4 linked regions of the Arabidopsis thaliana genome follow. The protein of the gene in region 2 interacts with the protein of the main gene of each other region in a pairwise test. Each region holds a gene or a part of one and is shown on either strand. Other genes may lie near its edges.

Evidence for each region.
Region 1: the proteins of CLT2 (region 2) and TBL36 interact in a protein complementation assay, tested with the Arabidopsis thaliana proteins (one large-scale study listed by BioGRID).
Region 3: the proteins of CLT2 (region 2) and AT2G43420 interact in a protein complementation assay, tested with the Arabidopsis thaliana proteins (one large-scale study listed by BioGRID).
Region 4: the proteins of CLT2 (region 2) and PRA1.C interact in a protein complementation assay, tested with the Arabidopsis thaliana proteins (one large-scale study listed by BioGRID).

What each region holds. Positions count from the first base shown.
Region 1 is NC_003074.8:20,084,417-20,088,648, forward strand, and holds TBL36 (TRICHOME BIREFRINGENCE-LIKE 36), read right to left. Parts: upstream 2,552-4,232; 5' UTR 2,330-2,551; coding exon 2,019-2,329; intron 1,833-2,018; coding exon 1,661-1,832; intron 1,576-1,660; coding exon 1,394-1,575; intron 1,237-1,393; coding exon 1,087-1,236; intron 1,006-1,086; coding exon 681-1,005; 3' UTR 555-680; downstream 1-554. Other genes in the region: AT3G54250 (GHMP kinase family protein), read right to left, coding at 63-272; AT3G54270 (sucrose-6F-phosphate phosphohydrolase family protein), read right to left, coding at 3,003-3,092, 3,189-3,235, 3,399-3,585, 3,739-4,029, 4,112-4,232. UniProt on the Arabidopsis thaliana protein: May act as a bridging protein that binds pectin and other cell wall polysaccharides. Probably involved in maintaining esterification of pectins. May be involved in the specific O-acetylation of cell wall polymers.
Region 2 is NC_003075.7:12,640,962-12,646,054, reverse strand, and holds CLT2 (CRT (chloroquine-resistance transporter)-like transporter 2), read right to left. Parts: upstream 3,202-5,093; 5' UTR 3,168-3,201; coding exon 2,770-3,167; exon of another isoform or gene 2,699-2,769; coding exon of another isoform or gene 2,685-2,698; coding exon 2,539-2,684; intron 2,462-2,538; coding exon 2,424-2,461; intron 2,345-2,423; coding exon 2,229-2,344; intron 1,905-2,228; coding exon 1,805-1,904; intron 1,713-1,804; coding exon 1,677-1,712; intron 1,590-1,676; coding exon 1,539-1,589; coding exon of another isoform or gene 1,482-1,538; exon of another isoform or gene 1,334-1,481; coding exon 1,210-1,333; intron 1,121-1,209; coding exon 995-1,120; intron 906-994; coding exon 745-905; 3' UTR 699-744; exon of another isoform or gene 600-698; 3' UTR 554-599; downstream 1-553. Other genes in the region: ZIM (GATA-type zinc finger protein with TIFY domain-containing protein), read right to left, coding at 1-270; PWD (phosphoglucan, water dikinase), read right to left, coding at 3,424-3,628, 3,704-3,819, 3,900-3,992, 4,073-4,246, 4,323-4,415, 4,501-4,611, 4,734-4,859, 4,943-5,072. UniProt on the Arabidopsis thaliana protein: Involved in thiol transport from the plastid to the cytosol. Transports probably both glutathione (GSH) and its precursor, gamma-glutamylcysteine (gamma-EC).
Region 3 is NC_003071.7:18,030,767-18,036,989, forward strand, and holds AT2G43420 (3-beta hydroxysteroid dehydrogenase/isomerase family protein), read right to left. Parts: upstream 4,417-6,223; 5' UTR 4,171-4,416; coding exon 3,924-4,170; intron 3,774-3,923; coding exon 3,684-3,773; intron 3,607-3,683; coding exon 3,473-3,606; intron 3,387-3,472; coding exon 3,216-3,386; intron 3,074-3,215; coding exon 2,957-3,073; intron 2,862-2,956; coding exon 2,782-2,861; intron 2,377-2,781; coding exon 2,184-2,376; intron 2,096-2,183; coding exon 1,993-2,095; intron 1,625-1,992; coding exon 1,450-1,624; intron 1,295-1,449; coding exon 1,138-1,294; intron 1,058-1,137; coding exon 991-1,057; intron 879-990; coding exon 727-878; 3' UTR 502-726; downstream 1-501. Other genes in the region: FPA (RNA binding protein), read right to left, coding at 1-223; GLX2-1 (glyoxalase 2-1), read right to left, coding at 4,803-4,949, 5,036-5,134, 5,207-5,281, 5,600-5,700, 5,945-6,068.
Region 4 is NC_003075.7:14,532,420-14,535,832, forward strand, and holds PRA1.C (prenylated RAB acceptor 1.C), read right to left. Parts: upstream 1,655-3,413; 5' UTR 1,601-1,654; coding exon 1,028-1,600; 3' UTR 518-1,027; downstream 1-517. Other genes in the region: AT4G29654 (Protein kinase superfamily protein), read right to left, coding at 7-35; EMB2752 (embryo defective 2752), read right to left, coding at 2,076-2,195, 2,561-2,752.

The sequences.
Region 1 (4,232 bases), on a different chromosome or scaffold from region 2:
ATTCGATAATTGGAATCTCAGCAAAAGGAGAGAGATCGTGATGGGAAATGAAGCGAGTGTACCTTGCCATTGAGCCACATTCGATCCCGATCAAAAGCAGGACTAACGGCAACAGTGGTGACTGTGCAGAGATGATCAGGATCAAGAGTTACGCTAATGCTATCGTTAACGGGGAGAATCCGAACCTCATCTCTCTTTCCCCAATACTTAATCACCGCAATGTTCGTCGGAGTTTGCGCCGTCACCATGAACACCCATTTCTCCGTCGCCATGTGAATCTCCAAAAGAGATCTGCAGCTTCAAAGTAGTTGAAAATGAAAGCGACGGAGAATACGACAGAATAATGATGACTCATTGCCTTTACAATTTTAAAAATATTATTTTATTCAAAAATTGAGAACTTCACTAACTGTAAAACTCTAATCAAATGGTTATTGCCATTTTGATGAAAACACCAAAACTTAACCTAAAACGTTTTAGGAAAAAAATTGAGTTAGGTAAGAAATAACCAAAACACGAAAATCATTGTGATGCATGAACTTTATGCTTAAAGGCCTTTGAGTTGTCTTGTCTTTGATATTGGGATATTTGTTAGCTGGGAAAGGATATGTAATATATAAACCACTGATTCATATAAGTAACACCATTGTTCATGAGTAAAAACAGACTCTTATTATAGCTCATACAGCATTGGTTAAGATAATTGAAGAAAGCATCTCATTCCAAATATCCGGGACACCGGGCAAGCACCAATGACTGCAATCTGATGAAGGTCCAGCGATACGATGGTGCTTCTCTTCCTCGTGCATTGCTCTCTTGAACACCGAAGGATGACCGTCTCTTCTATACGCAGACATTGTTGTGATATCGTATAAATACACTCGGTATTTCATTGTCCTTAGCACTTTGTTCAACACTCTTGACTGTTGAGGCACGTGGGGTTTGGTGGAAGAAGATAAAGAAGGCAAGGGATGTTTCTGGTTGTAGCACATCTGACCACTCTCTCTGCCAAGAATTTATGTACATGAATTAATGGTGTCCATTTTGTATATATGTTGAGATTAAGAGGAGAATATAAGAAAAAACCTCGGTGAGACAGTGCGGAAAATGACTTTTGTTTTGGATGGATCAAGATTTATCTCAACCCATTTAGCCCATGTGGTTAGTCCTCTCTCATAAGCAACCATTGGGTCCATAGCTTTGAAGATCTTATTCCCATCCATGTAATAATCCCACCTAAAACATCAATAGCTTGCGTTACTGTCACAAATCCCAAATCTGATGTAAAATGAGACACAATAACAAATACAATGAACATAGACGTCTATGAACCGTTATACACTAATCATTTGCTTTTGAAGGAAAGATGTAAGTGTTTATTCAGATGACTTACGAACTCCATCTCTGAGAGTGAGTCCACCAGTGAGCGGAATCGAATACAAGAACATCTACACCACGCCAATATCTAGCATTGTCTTCGATTGAGTCCAAATGTAACACCCTTTTACGGTCAACTCCTCTCTTGAGTTCCACAAGCAGAGGAGCCCAACAAAACTCAATTGATGTCTCAAAATCCTGTATAGTAACCAAATTTAATAGTTGCATCTACTAACCAATGATGTATATGTGATTCAAAAGGAGATTTGTGATTATTAATTACCAGAGAATGGAAAGACATCGTAGGACCATTGTAAGTGAGCTTCTTACGATGAGTGGGAAGAACAGACTGTACTAAGCAGACAAGAGATTCCCACTGGTTTCTCATCATTGAATCTCCAACCAGCATTATTCTTTTTCCTCTCATTTTCCCAAGAAATTTCAATGCGTCAAACCTAAACACCATCATGGAAAGAGCCACTATTTTGGTTAATATTAATGTCTCTTTCCCATTTTTCATTAGTCAATTTATTCATCTTGCAATTAACCATGCAAAGCCAATATAAACCAACTTTTTTACTTGATGAGACAGAAATTTTAAAAAGAAGTAATGTAAGAAGTAAGAGGAGTGTGGAGTGTGCCTTGGTAGTGAACAAGCCTTAGGGATCCATCTCCATTTCTGGTAATAAGAGTCGGGTCTTCCATTTCTTTGGCAACTTAGTGCAGAACTCAGATATGGACAGCTTGAATCATAGAGCGGATACGTTTCATCGAACGTCCATTTCCCCACCGAGTAATCACACCTCTCCTCTCTTCTTTCACGCCTCGTCTGCAAGGCGTTGAGTGGATCATCGTCCCCTACTAGCCATAACTCATCAAACTGAGACAAAACTACTTTGCCAAGGATGAGACACAAAGATAAGAACAAGACTCGAGTCTCTGAGGTAGCCATTTGACCAGGAAACTGAGCAGTGTGGGCTTGGAGAAAGAAATAATATAAAGAAGATGGGCAACAAAAAGTGGATAAAGTGAAAAAGGGCGTTAATTACGGAAAGTGGTGGTAATTAGTAATTAGACTTATGCTTGAAATCATGTCCCGTGACTTGCGTCTCCTCTTCTCTCCATCATATCATTTTTTTATAAAAACAGATTACAGTATCCAAGGCGGGATTTGTGAGTTTGGTGGAGCGTTTTGTATATGGTTTAAAAAATCGAAATAGTTTCTCAACAAAAACAAACAGAAATAGTAGAAAACAATCCATATAAACCAGAAAAAAGAATTGCAAATCAAACACAATGGTAGGTTTTGTAAGACTAAAGAAATGTAGGTTTTGTTGTAGAGACCCAAAACTCTCCCTGCCCTCAAAAGGTCATGAACAGACCAAATTCAGGACCCAACCTTCCTTATTAATAGTTTTAAGTTAACCCAAATATGTAAAAAAGTATTAATGAAACGAAACCAAGACATGGCAACACCTTCTTCAGCTTTTAGTATCCTTCATGCTTTATCAAACTCACACCATCCCCAAACAAACATAACACAAAACAAACACTATGCTCTTTGGTTAGCTTCTGTCCCAAACAGATGTCATCTTTAGTATGTCAGTCGAGATTAAGATAATCCTTTAGAAAATCCATTTTTCTTGATCATCTGAAGAAGATTCATCTAACCATGATTGGTGGATGTGCATCCACGTCAGCCTTTGCTTTTCCTCCTTTCAATTTTAACCCATTTTCAGTTATTTTTTTCCAATATTATTTAACCAATCTAATCGTTTGAAATCTTAAAAGGATCATAAATCAAGGTTTACCTTATAACTCAGTAAGACTTTTGTTGAACAAGACCGTACTTTTCCCTCTGTAAACACGAGCTAGACATTAGAACATGGAAGCAAACTTCTACAGTATACCCTTATGATGAGAAATCAAACAAATCAGTTGATCGTATTTTCTGCTAAATCATTTCCTAGCTCGATAAGTCACAAGTATAAGCCATGTAATTGAAGAACAAGATTTCTTACCAGATAACTCATGCTTTACAAATTTTGCAAGCCATGTATCTGAACTGATATGAGAAGACGTAACATTATCCAACCAAATGCGAAACTTCTTTTCCTTCCCATCACCGTATAAATTTTCCATCTCATCTATCCATTCATGTATCGGTTTCTCCACTCCAGACGGATGAACAAAAATACCAAGTGGACTCTGAAACATTGCAAAAGCATAACAATTACGTCAACTAATAAGTCTACACAACACAAGCAATCAAGAACATCTTCAAAATTATCAATTTGAGCACTTGAATTTCCATTACGTTAGATGCTAGAGAGCTTTTTTTTGTCAAATAAACACACTTACAGAGAGCGATTTCAAATTCTGCAAGTACTTGTCAGACTTTTCCACCTCTCCACAACGCCATCTCTCATAAAACAAATAAAACTGAACAACCTCATGAGCAGGATTCAAACTTTCCCCATGGAAATTTTCAGTGTCCATAACATCTCTAGGAGAGACATTTGGTCCCAAATTAAACCTCTGAATAGCTTCTATCATACCAGCTCCACACCTCTCAGACGCATGAAATATTTTTGGGTTGTCCTTTGCATTTTCTTCATACCATTGCAATAATTCTTCATGCGAATTGCTAACCTTAAACAGTAAAAATATAAGCACAATCACTCACGCGTAGTCAAGTATGATCGAACCTAAAAAAAAGTAGTTGGGAACTAACCATTACGCCATATACGTCAGAAATGTTGAAAAGCTCAGCATCATTTCCAGAGTCACCACAAACAAGTGTGTTAGAAGGCTGCTTGCCTTCAATATCCAACTTGTCAAGTAGATATGTCAAA
Region 2 (5,093 bases):
TCCACGGAACGAGATCGTAAGCTGATTCGCCCCTTCCGGTGGCCGAGAAACAAGTAATTCAGAGCCATCGGATCGGTGAGCAACCAATTGAGAGCCATCGGGAATCAAATCGGAGGCAGCACCATAGATAGAGTCAGGATGAGGGATTTCTTCCATATCGTCGTAAGGAATGTGACCAGACGTAGCGGAGGCAGAGACATGGTCTTCACCAGCGGAAGCAGAGGCGGTACCAATCTGGTTATTTGGGATAATCGAATGGCGACCAAACATCGGAAACTGCCAAAAGGGAGAGCTTTTTTTTCACATTGATTGAAGGATATAGAGAAAGAACAAAATAAACCCTAACCCTAAGAGCAAAGGAAGAAGGAAATAGTTGACATCGAGAAGAGCGATTACAGAGAGAGATGGTGATCGGCGCGTGTGGAGGAGGCGAGATTAGGACCGTCGTCGAATTCACCCGACGGTAAAAAAAAAAGGTGACTTTAGGTAAAATCGCAGCACTGCTTCCGAGACGACCCGACGACTCTACTTTACTGGATTTTTAACCAATCACAAATTTCTCTTCTTGTTATTCTTTTTTTTTTTTTTTTTTCTTTAAGCTAGTTTTTCACGTAAAAAAAATATCTGAGAATATTCTATGTATCTTTGATGGTCAAAGGAAAAAAAATTGGGAAATTACACGAATTTGGTTTATCAACAAAAAAAAAAGTAATGCACAAAAAGGATGAATGGTGAGTGAGTGTGTTAGGAGGTCTTGGTGTGTTGTTTAGTTGGAGTAGTGGGAATGTTGTAGAGAAGAAGACCTAGGACAAGAACTATACACCCCATCGTAAAATTTGAGCTCAAGCTTGATCCTCCCGGTAGATACGGCAATGGTTTTGACATTATGTACACCGCTAATGGCACTACAACAACACCAAAAGTATTATCTCATATGGGTTTGAGTATTTGGTGACACTTAAGAGGCGTTGCATGGAAGGATAGAAATATGGACCTGAGAGCATCATGGTAAGAGAGGAAACGATTGCTGAAGATATTTTCACCAGATGGAGCAATGAGATGTTGAAAGCGAGATTGGTGGATATATAGAGCAGTGGGAGTATAGGGGCACCATCACAGCCTGAAATTCTCAAATGGATAATCACAAAGTTTTAGCAGTGAATAAAATTCAATGAAGGAAAAAAAAACAAGTGTCGAATGGTCTCTAACCAGAAATCTTAGCTCCAGTGTTGAAGAAGCATCCGGCACCATCTTTTAGATATGAAGGAAGGCTGGCGAATGGAATGCCTTTCAAGTTTGAGAGAAAAGGCAACAACAGGAACACAAAAAGAGCCTGCACAAGCACAGCTTCAGTGATCCGTAACACTAAACCAAAAAACAAAAACTCTTCTCAAGTAGGAGAGAGATAATAAGTGAATAACAGAGGAAAGCAGCTTTCAAATGTTTTCTTCACGTACTCTTGATGTAATGGAGAAGCATGTCTAATTGTTTTGGCTGTAACAAATACATTTACAACATGATATTGTAGTAGTAGATACCTGAAATCCAGATCCAAATGAATTTACCACAAATATATCCAGTGACTTTCCCTGCATCCACCAGTTAATCTTAGAGTTAATTCAGCAAAGTTTCGAAAGAAAAGCATTCCTGTTTGATGCAGGGGATAAGGGAGATACCTCAAGACGCTTTGCAGCATCATTGAAAACAAATTCCTGTTAACAGACAAAACACTTAACAACTTGGGTCTTGGCAAAAGAAAATAAAATAGAAATGTTCACAACTCATAAGAGAGAGCGACCTTCACCTTTATGATAGATGCACCAGCTTGAAAAGCAGCGGATGCTACCAATACAGCAGGCCATAAGAAACCGATTCCAGATAGCGTAGTATCTGCACCAGATCCACTGCAGATGAGTTACAGTCAGCATTCACAAAAATGAAAGTATCACTATCACACAAGCTTCTCTAGAATCAGGGCCTTCTATTTGCTATGTGGATGATAAATACTAAAGTAGAGCCGTCTCCATTCATTTAGCATGGTGAATTTGATAGGTGTGACTCTGGTCCATGAAAACTAGTTTTCTAGATTGTAAGAGCTGAAAGCACTCTCTTGATATAATCTGTAAATGACCACGGATACACAAACATTTCTCTACCCCAAGATCAAGCATCCAGATCCAAGAAGATAAAAGTAACTTTAGAAGAAGAGAAGAGGGAGGAAGGAATACCTTGAAACAGCCACCACAACCCCCACAGCCACAAGGAGACAACCAGCAATTTGGTTAAGCAAAAACCTCCTGCCTAAAATAAGAAGAGCAAAAAGCAGCTGCCACACCAAATATGTCTGCCAAACATTGGGAGGCATGAGTTCAACACCCCCATGAGAACAAATGAGCAAGAAGATAATCATAAAACCAAAAGACCTGATTCAAAATGGGTATAACTGGTCCAGGAAGCATTGCTGCAACAGAGAGTGGAATCACTCCATATGTAACCTTATAAATATGTAAAGTTTCAATCATGCTATAAATGGGATACCTGCTGCAGCCATGCCAGTGGCAACACCAAGAGCTTCGAGAAAACCAATGATTGCGAATCTCCATTTGGGTACATCCATCATTTCATTCGTCACAATGCCTAGACGGCGCCTCGTATACAGAATGGTGAAATAAATCAAGACGTAGCTGCCAAAAACCATTCATTTATCATAATCTAAGCTAGGCTCCTTCACTGCCCAATTTCTTTCATAGCCACTCTTGTTTAAGTTACCCGAAAGTGGTGAGCTGAGCCATGAAAAAAGGGTACTGTTTCATGGGAACCAAAGCGAGTTTGTAGAGCACGCGATTAGCTACAGCTAAAGCTACGATTACGACGGAGTTAGCCACGATAAGGTTCCGATTAGAAGGAATTGAAGACTCCTCCGTAGAAGCACCGACGGAAAAGCGAGGTCGTCTCATCGGAGAAGTGGTTTTCGGAGTACTAAGAAAGCGAGATCTCAAATCGGACCGTCTGAGAAAACACATGCTCATCATAGTCGTCGAACGGTAGGAAAACAGTTGGGAGCTCCGGCAGCTGACCTGATAAATCGCCGGCGAACGGAACACCGTAGGAATTGAAGCATGAAGACATCTGATTGGTGGTGTTGTAGCCATGAGAACGGTATCCATAGCGGGAGACTTTCTCGGCGACTGTTTTTATATCCTTCTTCGCTTATGCGACCCTTCATACGATGTCGTTTAAACGAGTTTTGGATTTTTATCACACAATCATTTATTATGAAACTTTGAATCATGTTTGTTTGTATCAGGAGTGTGCCATGATGTAGAAATATTACATGTGTAATAGCAAACATATAAAAGATTAGCTTGTAATTATAAGATTTGATTGAAAACTTAGGGAATGGTACAAGTAGAAAAAGAGAGCTTAAACTTGGGGTCTAGCTTGGACGATGTAGATATGTCCACCTTTGACAACACCTTCAATGTCTTGAGGACAACCATAGATTGACTCTATCACATTTCCAGCTTCTGCAATCGCTGAGAATAGACGCACTCGAAAGGATTTGTCCATTATTAGTGGCTCCCTTGAGTAATCCACCACTACTTCCTCTGCTTCATCCATTATCACACTGCAGCACTTAACCCTTTCAGCTTCTGAGTTCCGAAATAAAAGACGGAAACAGAGAGAAACACACAAAACAAACCTGTCGTAAAGTCCAGCGCCTGCGTTGCCTTCGAGATCCTCGTTGTTTGAATCTGATCTGAATATGATTGAGGGTTTAGAATACAGACCTATCCTCTTACTTGGGTAACTGATCACCTGTACAACCCAAATTCCCCACTCACTCGGTTAATATATAACTCAACTTAAGAGCCAACTAGGATCTGTTTGTTTCTTACGGTTGGAGACTTGAGGTTTGTTTTCTTGGTGATGAAGCTCATTGCTCGTCCTGGATATGCTCCAACCAAGGTCTCTCCCAAACCCTTCACAATCTGAGAACGCCAGTTTCTTGATAACTGAGTTATTGATATTATTTACTCAAAAGTGTGGAAACTGGAGATAGTTCTTTAACCTCTGTGTATATTTCTGAAGAGTCACCAGAGACCGGATTGTTTGTGTGAATGACGAAAGCATAATCGCCACAAATGACTTCTTGAATCAGCACAGCCATGCAGACCGCATCATGATCAAGCTTATTTTTTTTGCAACTGACATAAGCTCTCTCGTTCCACTTTGAAGCCCAGACCTATGCAGATGTGGAGATCAGGGAAACACTTGGTTCCTTTAACTATAAGTACACAAACGTTCAAAGAGATTCTTACCTTCTTAATTGCCACCCAGGAGCGGTTCCAGCCTGATTCATCACCAAGATAAGGCATTCTTTCACTTCTCAATTTTGTGATCAGTTCATTTCTCTACCAAAGAGTTCAAAACCCAACATGAGATTCACATGGAACATGAACAGAGAGAAAGAAAGACAATTATATGCCCAGTTATTACCAGAGCCATTGGAGCACTCATTTGTAAGATAGCTTCTTGAATGGACTTAAGTTTTGTCAGGTCTCCTCTGTTAAGAGAATCTTTAAGGACAGAAATCCTGCGTGCTACATCCTGAAAAGCGATGGATCACCAAATCTATTTAAGAGACTTCTGGATCGCAAGCTCAGTGAGGAGCCGTCCCTTGGATTACTTTTAGAGAGTTCCAGAAAGAAGCAAATGATTAAAGGTTATACCTTATTGGAATCATCTGAGAGTATATTCTCAAATGTTCCGAATGGAAGAGCAGCTGAGGTAGGTATCTTGATCCATGATGGAACTCTTTCACGTAGAAATTTTATATTGTATGATTTTGAGCCAACCTAAAATATCTCATAGAAATGAAAATCCAAATGGTATTCTCAAAATGAAAACTTTTATCTTCATGTATTTGATTCTTATTTACCCTTTCATCAGTGAATTCCTTAGATGAAATCACATAGTGGCCACAAAACTTCTTCCCCTTAGAGATCACTCCCCGTGGAACAGAGGAAATAAAAATATGACGAACAGAGACATCAGAGTTGTTGCCATCACTGCAAGTGATATAATTTCAG
Region 3 (6,223 bases), on a different chromosome or scaffold from region 2:
CTTGAAGAGCCTCTTTGGCTGCGACTGCTTCCTCCACATGTCTGTAGTATATAAACGCAAAGCCTCGTGAAGAATACACCGTGATTCTATCAATATCGCCGTATCTTCCAAACAACTCGGTCAGATCTGACTCTGTCGTCTCCGGCGTTAGGCTACCGACCCAAAGATTGTTTGACTGGAAACCGGAATCATCGGCTCTGAATGGCTTCATAGATAACGCCATCGGGATTGTTTCAATTGACGATCCTATGGATCCAAAATTCCAATCCCAGAATTGATTGTTTTACCTTTGGGATTATGAGATTTCGATTATCCACGTGACGGAAAACGAGAGACGAATTGTGCGATGATACGTTGAGCAAGAAAAATTCGATGAGAGATTTGGGTGTTCAAAATCCTACCTACAGAGAGGAGAAGAGAACCCTAGATTGAGTTTGAAGACGAAGAAGATTAGATTGTGAGAGAAAGAGAGGCCAGGGAATATCGAAGCGGCGGCTTTTAAAGGATATATAAGGATACTTTCCTTTTTTTTCTTTTTTTTTTGGAAACCGGATCAAAACGGTGCATTTTGATAGTAGTTATGGCAAATTCGTAAATAATCATATATCCATCCCCTCTCAGTGAAGATTACATCCTGATAGCATAATGTTTGTACATAAGACATCTAATAACTGCAATTAGTCTCTGGGATTGTTGGTGTTCGTTTAGTGGAGGACTTTGGAAGCTTCACATGAACATTGGTTTAGATGAAGCATCAGAAACAGGTATCACCATCCTTTTAATAAATGTTAAGCATTCGACGAATATCCGGGCTAGGTGGTAGAGCTCAAGCTCGTATTGCTCGTAGATGAAGAAACCGGTGAATGAGAACGACATAACTGTCCAAGCAAAGCGTAGAGAAAATGTTATGGATAAAGAAGTTGTTAATCATGTTTATGAAGTTGTTAATCATGTTTATGAAGTGTGAAAACAAAAGCTTTGTTCGAGTACCTGTGAAAAGAAATGCTGCCAATGAACGGGATACAATCAGTTTGAGGAGATACAGTGATCCTGCAATCTGTTTTTATGTTTTGTTTTAGGAAACGAGAGCAATGAGATATTTTTCATGTTTGGTGAGCATAAAGAGTAGAATTGTACCTTGAAGAACTTGATCCAGTCTCCTCCACTGCTTAAGGATTTAAAACTGCGAACTCCTTGATTCCAGACAACTACGATATCACTACTAAGATCTCTCACAGCGGATTCGGAGATCTCAAATCTCCATGGGGGTATTTTGTTGACTTGAAACCCGAAACTGTCAAAATAAATCAATCTGTCACTTAGTTGCATATAGATTTCAAAGGTGAAATATATATACATGGGTGCATCATCCTTTGATAGGACAATTTTGGTATCACAACTTATTTTCACTGCCTTCTATAATGGTAAAGTTCTGGAACCAATACTTACATCTTTGACGGCACAAAAGAGACTCCATAGAGAGCAACAGCAAATATAAACAGAAGTTGGGCTGCAGATGAAGTAAATGTGTTTCCAGAAAAGAAGAACCAGTAATAAAACAAGTTTAGGACAAGAAAAGAAACGAAGGTTTTCTTCTCATTTCTCCACAGCAAGATGTCTGCAACTGCATGAGAACATAGAGATGAAAAGCTAAGTCAGTTTAAAGAGATTAATATTAAAAGCTTGCATTGACCAGATTCGCTTTGAGTTTGTTTATATGTGCATGAAATAAAGTTGGAACTCGCATGAAATTACATGGACTGGAAGAAGATGTAAATTAACCAAGCAGATACTTCAGCATGTTCTAGACATCTAGAAGCAAACAAATCTAAGTTGAAAATAGAGATAGATTCTTTCCAGGTTAAGCCTTGTGAACATGCATCATCATATCCATAGCTAGATGAGATGCGGACTTCAAGCAATACAACTGAATACTTAGCCAAGAACACTTCAAAAAGGCATTATAATTGTTAATAGCGAGATGGTTCTAACCTTTCCCACAACCAAGAAGCTGATCTGCAGTAGATTGAATGATTGTGTCATCAGACTTCTCAAGATCCCGAGAGAACCATTGAAGCGTTGATGCAATACCATCCTACAAATCCAACAAGAGCTAATAAATCCAAGGAAGGTACTAAGCAGCTGAATATGCAAAAAGCCAAAATACTATCCAACAAACTCACTTCAAGTGTCACAACAGGTGTGTAACCAAGATGCTTCTTAGCTGCATTGCAGTTAAAAGTTCTCGTTGATGAAGCTAACAGAGCATACTGATGTGCTGTGTCATAATTACTCCCAAGGCCCTCCTTTTCATGTGTCCACTTAAGAAGTGAGAAAACATACAAAACCAGCCGAACAGGAAGTTTAATGGATGGTCTGCAATTAAAGAGGAAAAAAAAATATCAAAACAGGTAAACCAGAAAGTTAGCTCTAAGGATCTAAAACTTTTCAAAATGATCAATATTTAAGACATAGGAGAAGGAAACATATACGACCATGTATAAAATACTAAATATCAGCGAATCACCATGTATAGATAGTTTATATCTAAAAAAACTAATTGAATATGGCTGTTCTCGAAACGGTTCTTCTAGACATGTCTCCAGGACATCTATCAACAGAAAATTAAGATCTTTTGCTTTAAGAAGGGAACATTCAAGGTAGGTTCAGAAGTTCTGAGGAGCCTTTTTCCCATGCTACATTGATAATCAGGAAACAGAAAGATAAAAGGAGTTCACAGCAAGTTTCATTGTATCAAAAACTGTTCGGATGCTTATTTACCTTGGGTATCCCAGACCTTCAACTATATGGCTTACAAAGTCCCAAAATCTGACCGGCTTGAGGTTTGTGATAAAAAATTCCTACATAAAGTCGGCACAGTAAAAATTCATCACATATAAAGTTCATGCGCTTTCAGGAGTGATTTGGCAAATACACTTTGACTCAAAGAGGTTACCTTTCCAGCCACAAACTCCATCTGTGAATCTAATGCTTTAACGGCGCAAATATGTGCATGAGAAACGTTCTCCGAGTAAGTGAAATCAGAGATATTTTCACCACTCCCGAGTATAAACTGAAATTTTAAAAACTAAGACAGTCATTCCTCCAAAAAAGGAAAACTAAGAATGCATCAAGCTCAAGGAATACTACCAGGTATAATAAGATAATAAACGTAGACGCAAAAACGCAACAATGGGATGAACTAATAGTAAGACCTTTGCATATCCGGACTTGGCTAGATTCACCAAAAAAGGTACAAACTCTGTGTCACCAGGTCCAAATACAATGCTAGAGCGAAGTGCACAAGTTAAGAGACCATCTCGGTTGTTAGCCAATTTGATCAACGCTTCTGCTTGAGCTTTGAAGTCTGTCAACATAGATTGGAACTGCAAGAGAATCAGAGCAAAACAGATATCATCTCTGAAAAAGACCAACGACAAAAACCAACTAAACAAACATGCTCAAGGATTACCTTCAAAGGACGTCTCAAGGATTCATCACCATCACGTATAGGTTGGGAACCATCAAAAACAACATCAGCTGTACTGTTGTAGATAAGTTTTCTGACTCCAGATTCACGACAGGCAGAAATCACATTTCTTGTACCTATACGAGAAATCGATTAACCACCCAAGTTTAACTAATATAATGGTAAACCATCTTGAAGTGACTAAGAACTTTACCTTGAACTATAACCTTGTAGCAGTCAAAGTAATCATGGGAACGTAAATCAGTAGCTCCCATGTAAAATACAACATAGGAACCCTCGGTAACTGCAAGGAACAAAACAGTCACACCAAAACTCAAATCAGAACCCGAAAATCTCAAATAGCCAAACACTCCCCCATAGCATTTTCTAGATACCAAAAACCGATCCATCAATGTCATATCTAACAAAGTGCAACAGGAAATAAGAGGAAAACCTTTAACGATCTGAGGTTTATCACGAACATCGACGCAGTGATAAGAAGCGCGGCCGGAGGAGAGAGCATCCTCGAGGAGCGAATCGGATTCATCAAGATGGAGAGTGTGACCGGAATCTGCGACTCGGACTGTCCAGTTTCCGAGACGAAGCAATCTGGAGACAAGCGATCGACCAATGAACCCTCGTCCGCCGAGGACGACACATGTCTTGAGGTGAGAATCGCCATGGACGGAATCTTCGTCCATTGTTATCGCCGAATTAAACCCCAGCTCTATCGCCTTTTCTCGGTCGAGTCAACTCAGAGAAAAAGGCCGAGTCGAGTTGGATCAGTGCACAAAAAGCTGAATACTAGGGGTTGCTTGGCGGGCAGACTCTCCACTCGCGCAACCTTTTAGCGTTTTCCTTTATTCTTCGGCTGTGTAATTATAATTTAATATTCACACTTTTTTGCCATAAATCTATGGATTTGACTTAATTTATGTAAATTATCTGTATAATTATTCCTTGGTTACAAACAAATCTAGTAAAGCTAATATTAAATCGTAGACGCACGGTTGCGTTTTCACGTTTGGTGAGCCAATTCCATCAATCCACCAAACATATGATTTCCATTGTTAGAAATTTGGTAAGCACTTGTAGAGAGAAACTAAACCGTATCTATCTATACACTTGTGTATGTATGTTGAAGCATTCATTACACTTGAAAATCTCATAATTTAATAATTGAGTTTAAACTAAATATTTAGATTTTTTTGTGTTGAATACACAACTTCAAATGATAACTGAAGAAAGCCCAAAACATATAAAATATTGATCTTTGCAGCTGATGATTGACTTGCAAATTTTTCTATACAAATAAGAAAATATACCCAAGTTTTCAGAAACGATCTCTGGCTCTCTGTATACGACGCAATGCTTCAGCTTCGGTTGCTGAGTCTGGAATGCTTAAAGATTTTCGGATATCTTTGCTCGATATTCTGAGGAATGGGTTACACGCTTTCTCAACCTTGACAGTCGTTGGAATCTACAGACAACAAATCCGTAAGTAAATGAAATCTAGAGAGAGGTTTAGAGAGAAAGAGGAGATAGGGAAGAGATAAGAGGTTTTACCGATGGGAGCCCCTGGCTGCGAAGATGGGCGACTCGAGTTGCATAGGACTGAAGAGTTTCATTCTTTGGTTCTACGGATAGAGCAAACTTGAGATTGCCCTGTATCATGGAGGAGATATAAAAGAGAGTTGAACAATGTGAATTAAGAGTATTTATGTGCGTGGAACTTACTGCTGTGTTTTCACGGCCGCAGTATATATTTGTATCGTCTGGTAGAGACACGATCTTTTGGAGTGATGAAAGCATCTGAGTCATAAGGCAAAAAAGGTTTTCTCGTTAAAAAGGACAGAGCACAATAAGTTTGCTTCTGTGAAAGAAACTACAATGTACGGTTATTAGAGTACTCCCAAGTCCCAAGTGATCTCTCCATAAAGTCTATACCATTTGACTCAGCACAGTTTGCCACAAGAAAGTAACCATAACAGTAAAAAGATATGAAGGTTGAAAAAGAAACATGATTTAGAAAACCACAAATCACTTGGCACAATTTTTGCCACAAGAAAATAATCATAACAGTGCAAGGGTCGAGAAGGTTGAAATATTGCTTTTTGAAATTGATGTTACCTGCTCAGGGGTACCTTCTGAAAGGGTACCACAGGATAAGCTATATATCAGGTCTCCTGTGAATATTGTCGCTGACCCGGGAAAGTAGAAGCTAATATGGCCTGCTTGAGAATAAGTACAGTTAAGTGATAAAACATGGCACCAAGTATACATTAATTACTAGTTGTACTACACTAGAACGATAAAAAAGGAGAGCAGTTACACAGTAATGTATTGAGGATAACAAATTAGAATGACAAATAAGATACTAATATGTGATCCACCAAAGGTTTCTAACGTTGGCAATATTTGACTGTATAGATGTGTTCTTAGTATTTTACAGTAGAGGTTATGGCAGCTACAAACCTTGTGTATGGCCAGGAGTGTCAAGTATCCGAACCTCATGGCCAGCAAACATCCACTTATCACTATCCTTCAGAAGTATGTCAATTCCAGGAATCCGATCTTTATCTACAGCTGATCCAATCACCTGTCGGCAACATAAGTCACATAAAAACACTTGAGTATATATAAAAGAAGCAAAAACGAAAAGAACAACTCGACAAAGGTGCAAAACAAAAAGGTCCAAAAAACCATTTTTTCTGGTAAGACTAATACTTTACGACATCTCAAAACCAAACCATT
Region 4 (3,413 bases), 1.9 Mb from region 2:
CAATACATCCTCAAACCAACTATTTTAAAATGCATAGAGTTTGGAGGAATAAGGAGAAATCTTGAAAATTTATATATATTTTGCTTGTAGTTTGCTTTTGTTTTTCTTATGTTTTATCTTCTTTTTTTGCTTTAAATTAAACATGATTAACAAACTTTATATTTTGGTAATTCTAGAACACTATAACATATTAAAAAAATTATAAACAAAATAATTCTTCATAGACAATATAAACCTATGTAATTATCTCTTTGAAATAAATAAATTAAATATGTTTATTAGGAATAAGTCTTAGTTGGTTTTGCTTAACATTTACCAAATGTAAAAATATTGTATTCACTCTGGGACTAGGCCGGTTGATATTAGCGAGACGTCTAAACCACCTCAGATATTTTAGAGAGTTCCTTTTAAACACTTATCTCTTTTACAATTATCTAATTTTTTTACTAAAATAAAAATTTAATTGTATAATCAAATTATAGTAAAATATTAATATTTTTTTTATTTGAGAATTTTTTGGGGTTCTCTTTGTTGGAGATGGTCTAACTACTTCTTCATGTCGTGTCTAAAAAGTAAAATGGTATATATAGCCAAATCCCTATTGCATTTGAACTTGATAATTGTTGTGATAAAATTAAAAACTAGATCATTGTTCATATAAAGTTACAACCTTTCAATTCGTAATTGTTGAAAATGAGAGAATCGATTGGATAATTTGTAATAAGTGATAACTGAGAAGAGGATCACACTTGTCTTCGTTATTGTATTGGCTTGTTGGAGATAATTAGATAGGAATTCTATCATAGGATAATGTTTTTAATCAGCACGCAAAATTGCCTTTTATTTGTCACCAAGGTCTCTGACATGCATCAGTACATCAATATCCACATCCTGAATTTTGATCGCAAAAGAGCTCAAGTTCTTTTTGCAGCATGTTAACGTTCCTTCACTGGATATGCGTTGTTTTGAACTATGTAGACAAATTCAGGAAAGAAAAACTGAAAATCTTGTGCTCAATTGTGAAGACTTAAGAGGAAGAAGAAAGTGACGAAGATGATGTGTTCATTGCCACTTTCTCTTCATCATCTTCCAAGACGAACAACATCTCTGTATTCCTCCTACACATGCCATGAACCAGAACAACGGGCAAACCAGCCAAAACCCCGATCACAATACCGCGGGATACATCTGTTAGTAGAAATATACCGATCGTGAGGACCAACAAAACCAGCACCAAAGTAGAATCATCGATCACACTGCCAAATATCACCCATGGTTCATTATCACGGGAGTAGACATATAGCCATGCTACTATCAAGATAACAAAGACGGAAAGGTGGACGGGTTGCCAAAGCATGCTGATGAAGATACTAACAATGAAGATAACAATGTAGTTGGTTCGAAAGATCATGATGTTGGATTTGATTCGTTCAGTGGCAACGCTAAAGGAGATAGGAAGGCTAAAGGCACTACATTGGACAAGTTCAAGCCATGGCCTTTGAGAGCTAAGACCTAACGAGATCAATTCTTTGGCTCGTCCTAATAAGCTCAGGCTCGACGAAGCATTTTCTTGGGATGGTATAGTGCCATAGGTTGTCATATTCTTTCACAAGCAACAAACAAAAAAAAAAAGGAAGGAAAGAAACAGAGTACGTCCCCAGAGGAATCTATATGGACTAAAGAATGTGAAGCAACCTAATTTGAAGAGAAAAATCTGTGTTGGCTCAATGTTTCTGAGGTAGTTAGATCATCTATCTTATTTGGGAATGTTTTATTTCAGGACACCAGAAGAGAGGCAGATACAAGCAGAGATATTCAAAGGAATGAATGGATACCCTTAAACTTCTCAAATCAAATCCTTATACTATAACGAGACTGTCATTACATGTAATTTCTAGAAAATAGATTCTTAAGAGAGTCATTAGACTCGAAATACAGACACAAACATTCTACTGAACCAAAAGAAGTTTTTTGATATACATATACTAGTGAACCAGTATAAATCCATTTATATCTGCGTATCAAAGTCGGAGATACATCCTTCACCATAGTCTCTGATAGCCTAATCGTTAGCTTCACTGGCTGCTAGCATCTGAAGCAATAGCCTCACCACGATAAACTCTCCATGGTCCTCGATAGAATACTGGCTTCATCAGAGGCACTGTTTTCCCTGGGTGCTCTTCCCAAAACTTCTCCTGTTTACAGAGAGTGGAGTAACATAAAGTTCACACTCAAACAAGAAACATAACTGATACTAACACAAAACAGTGTAAGAAACACATTGACAAAGAATACAATATACTACAGAACAATGAATTAGATTAGATACTAATCAAGACGTAAAAGCTTCATTGAAAGACCTAATGAACCATTCCCATGAAAAGCAATTCAAGTATAGTTCTTTTCATGATCACACAATCCTTTATTAGTAATCAACAATGAATCATTTCCAATTTTATCACATTTCGAACCCTAACATTTACCAATCACGAGAATCAAATTAGAACCCACAAATCTAATAGCAATTCCGGGCCTGAATCGATAACAATACGAAGCTGACCTTGTAGAGCTGCTCTGTAACTGCAGCGCCGATGACGCCGGTGTAAAAGGCGGCGACATAGATAGTAATCAAAGTTGTGAAGGTTTTTGGTCGACGGTAAGGTTCGATCATTTCCCAAACAGCAAATCTCTCGAACTTATTGTACTTATAATCAGCATATTTCCTCCATAGTTGGCTCCACACTCCTTGCATCTCTCAGATTTCTCTCTTCTCAAACCTTCGCCGAATTTTGGATTTCTCCGTCTAGCTGTTTCGCGGCGGCGCGTGGGAACCTGAGAAAAATCTGATATCAAAAGGCAAGACTTTAAACGTTAAAACGTTTACCAAACAGTCCTCTTATTCCTACATGTTTTAGTTTTCAGCCCTTAACTTATCTTTAACACTTAAAAGTCTTGAGCTCACATTTGTAAATTTTTAAAAAATCTTATTTGATATGATTCTTGTAAATTTGTAAATTGTAATCACAACACATGATTATTGTAACCATTGTGCTATGTATTTGTTTTTCACTATCGTTCGGTAAGTTGAGAAAGTTATAAATTTACCCCAAAACTATGGAAATGAGACTTATGCAACCTCACATGACTTCATCAATAAGCTTGCTTTAAAGCAATAAAGAACAGCAGTAGTGAAAATACATTTGCAATTGACTATTAGCAGAAGAATCGTAACTGGCTTTAGGAAGTATTCTTTTACACCCAAAAATATGACGATATACAGAATTTTAAGCTGAGTATTTGCTTGAGCAACCAAAGATTGTTGCCTTAGTAATATATCTAAAAATCTGGCACTTCAACTTGATGCAGCTGGTTTGGCTAATGTTAAGCCTTCAGGTACCTTGGCTGGACCGAGG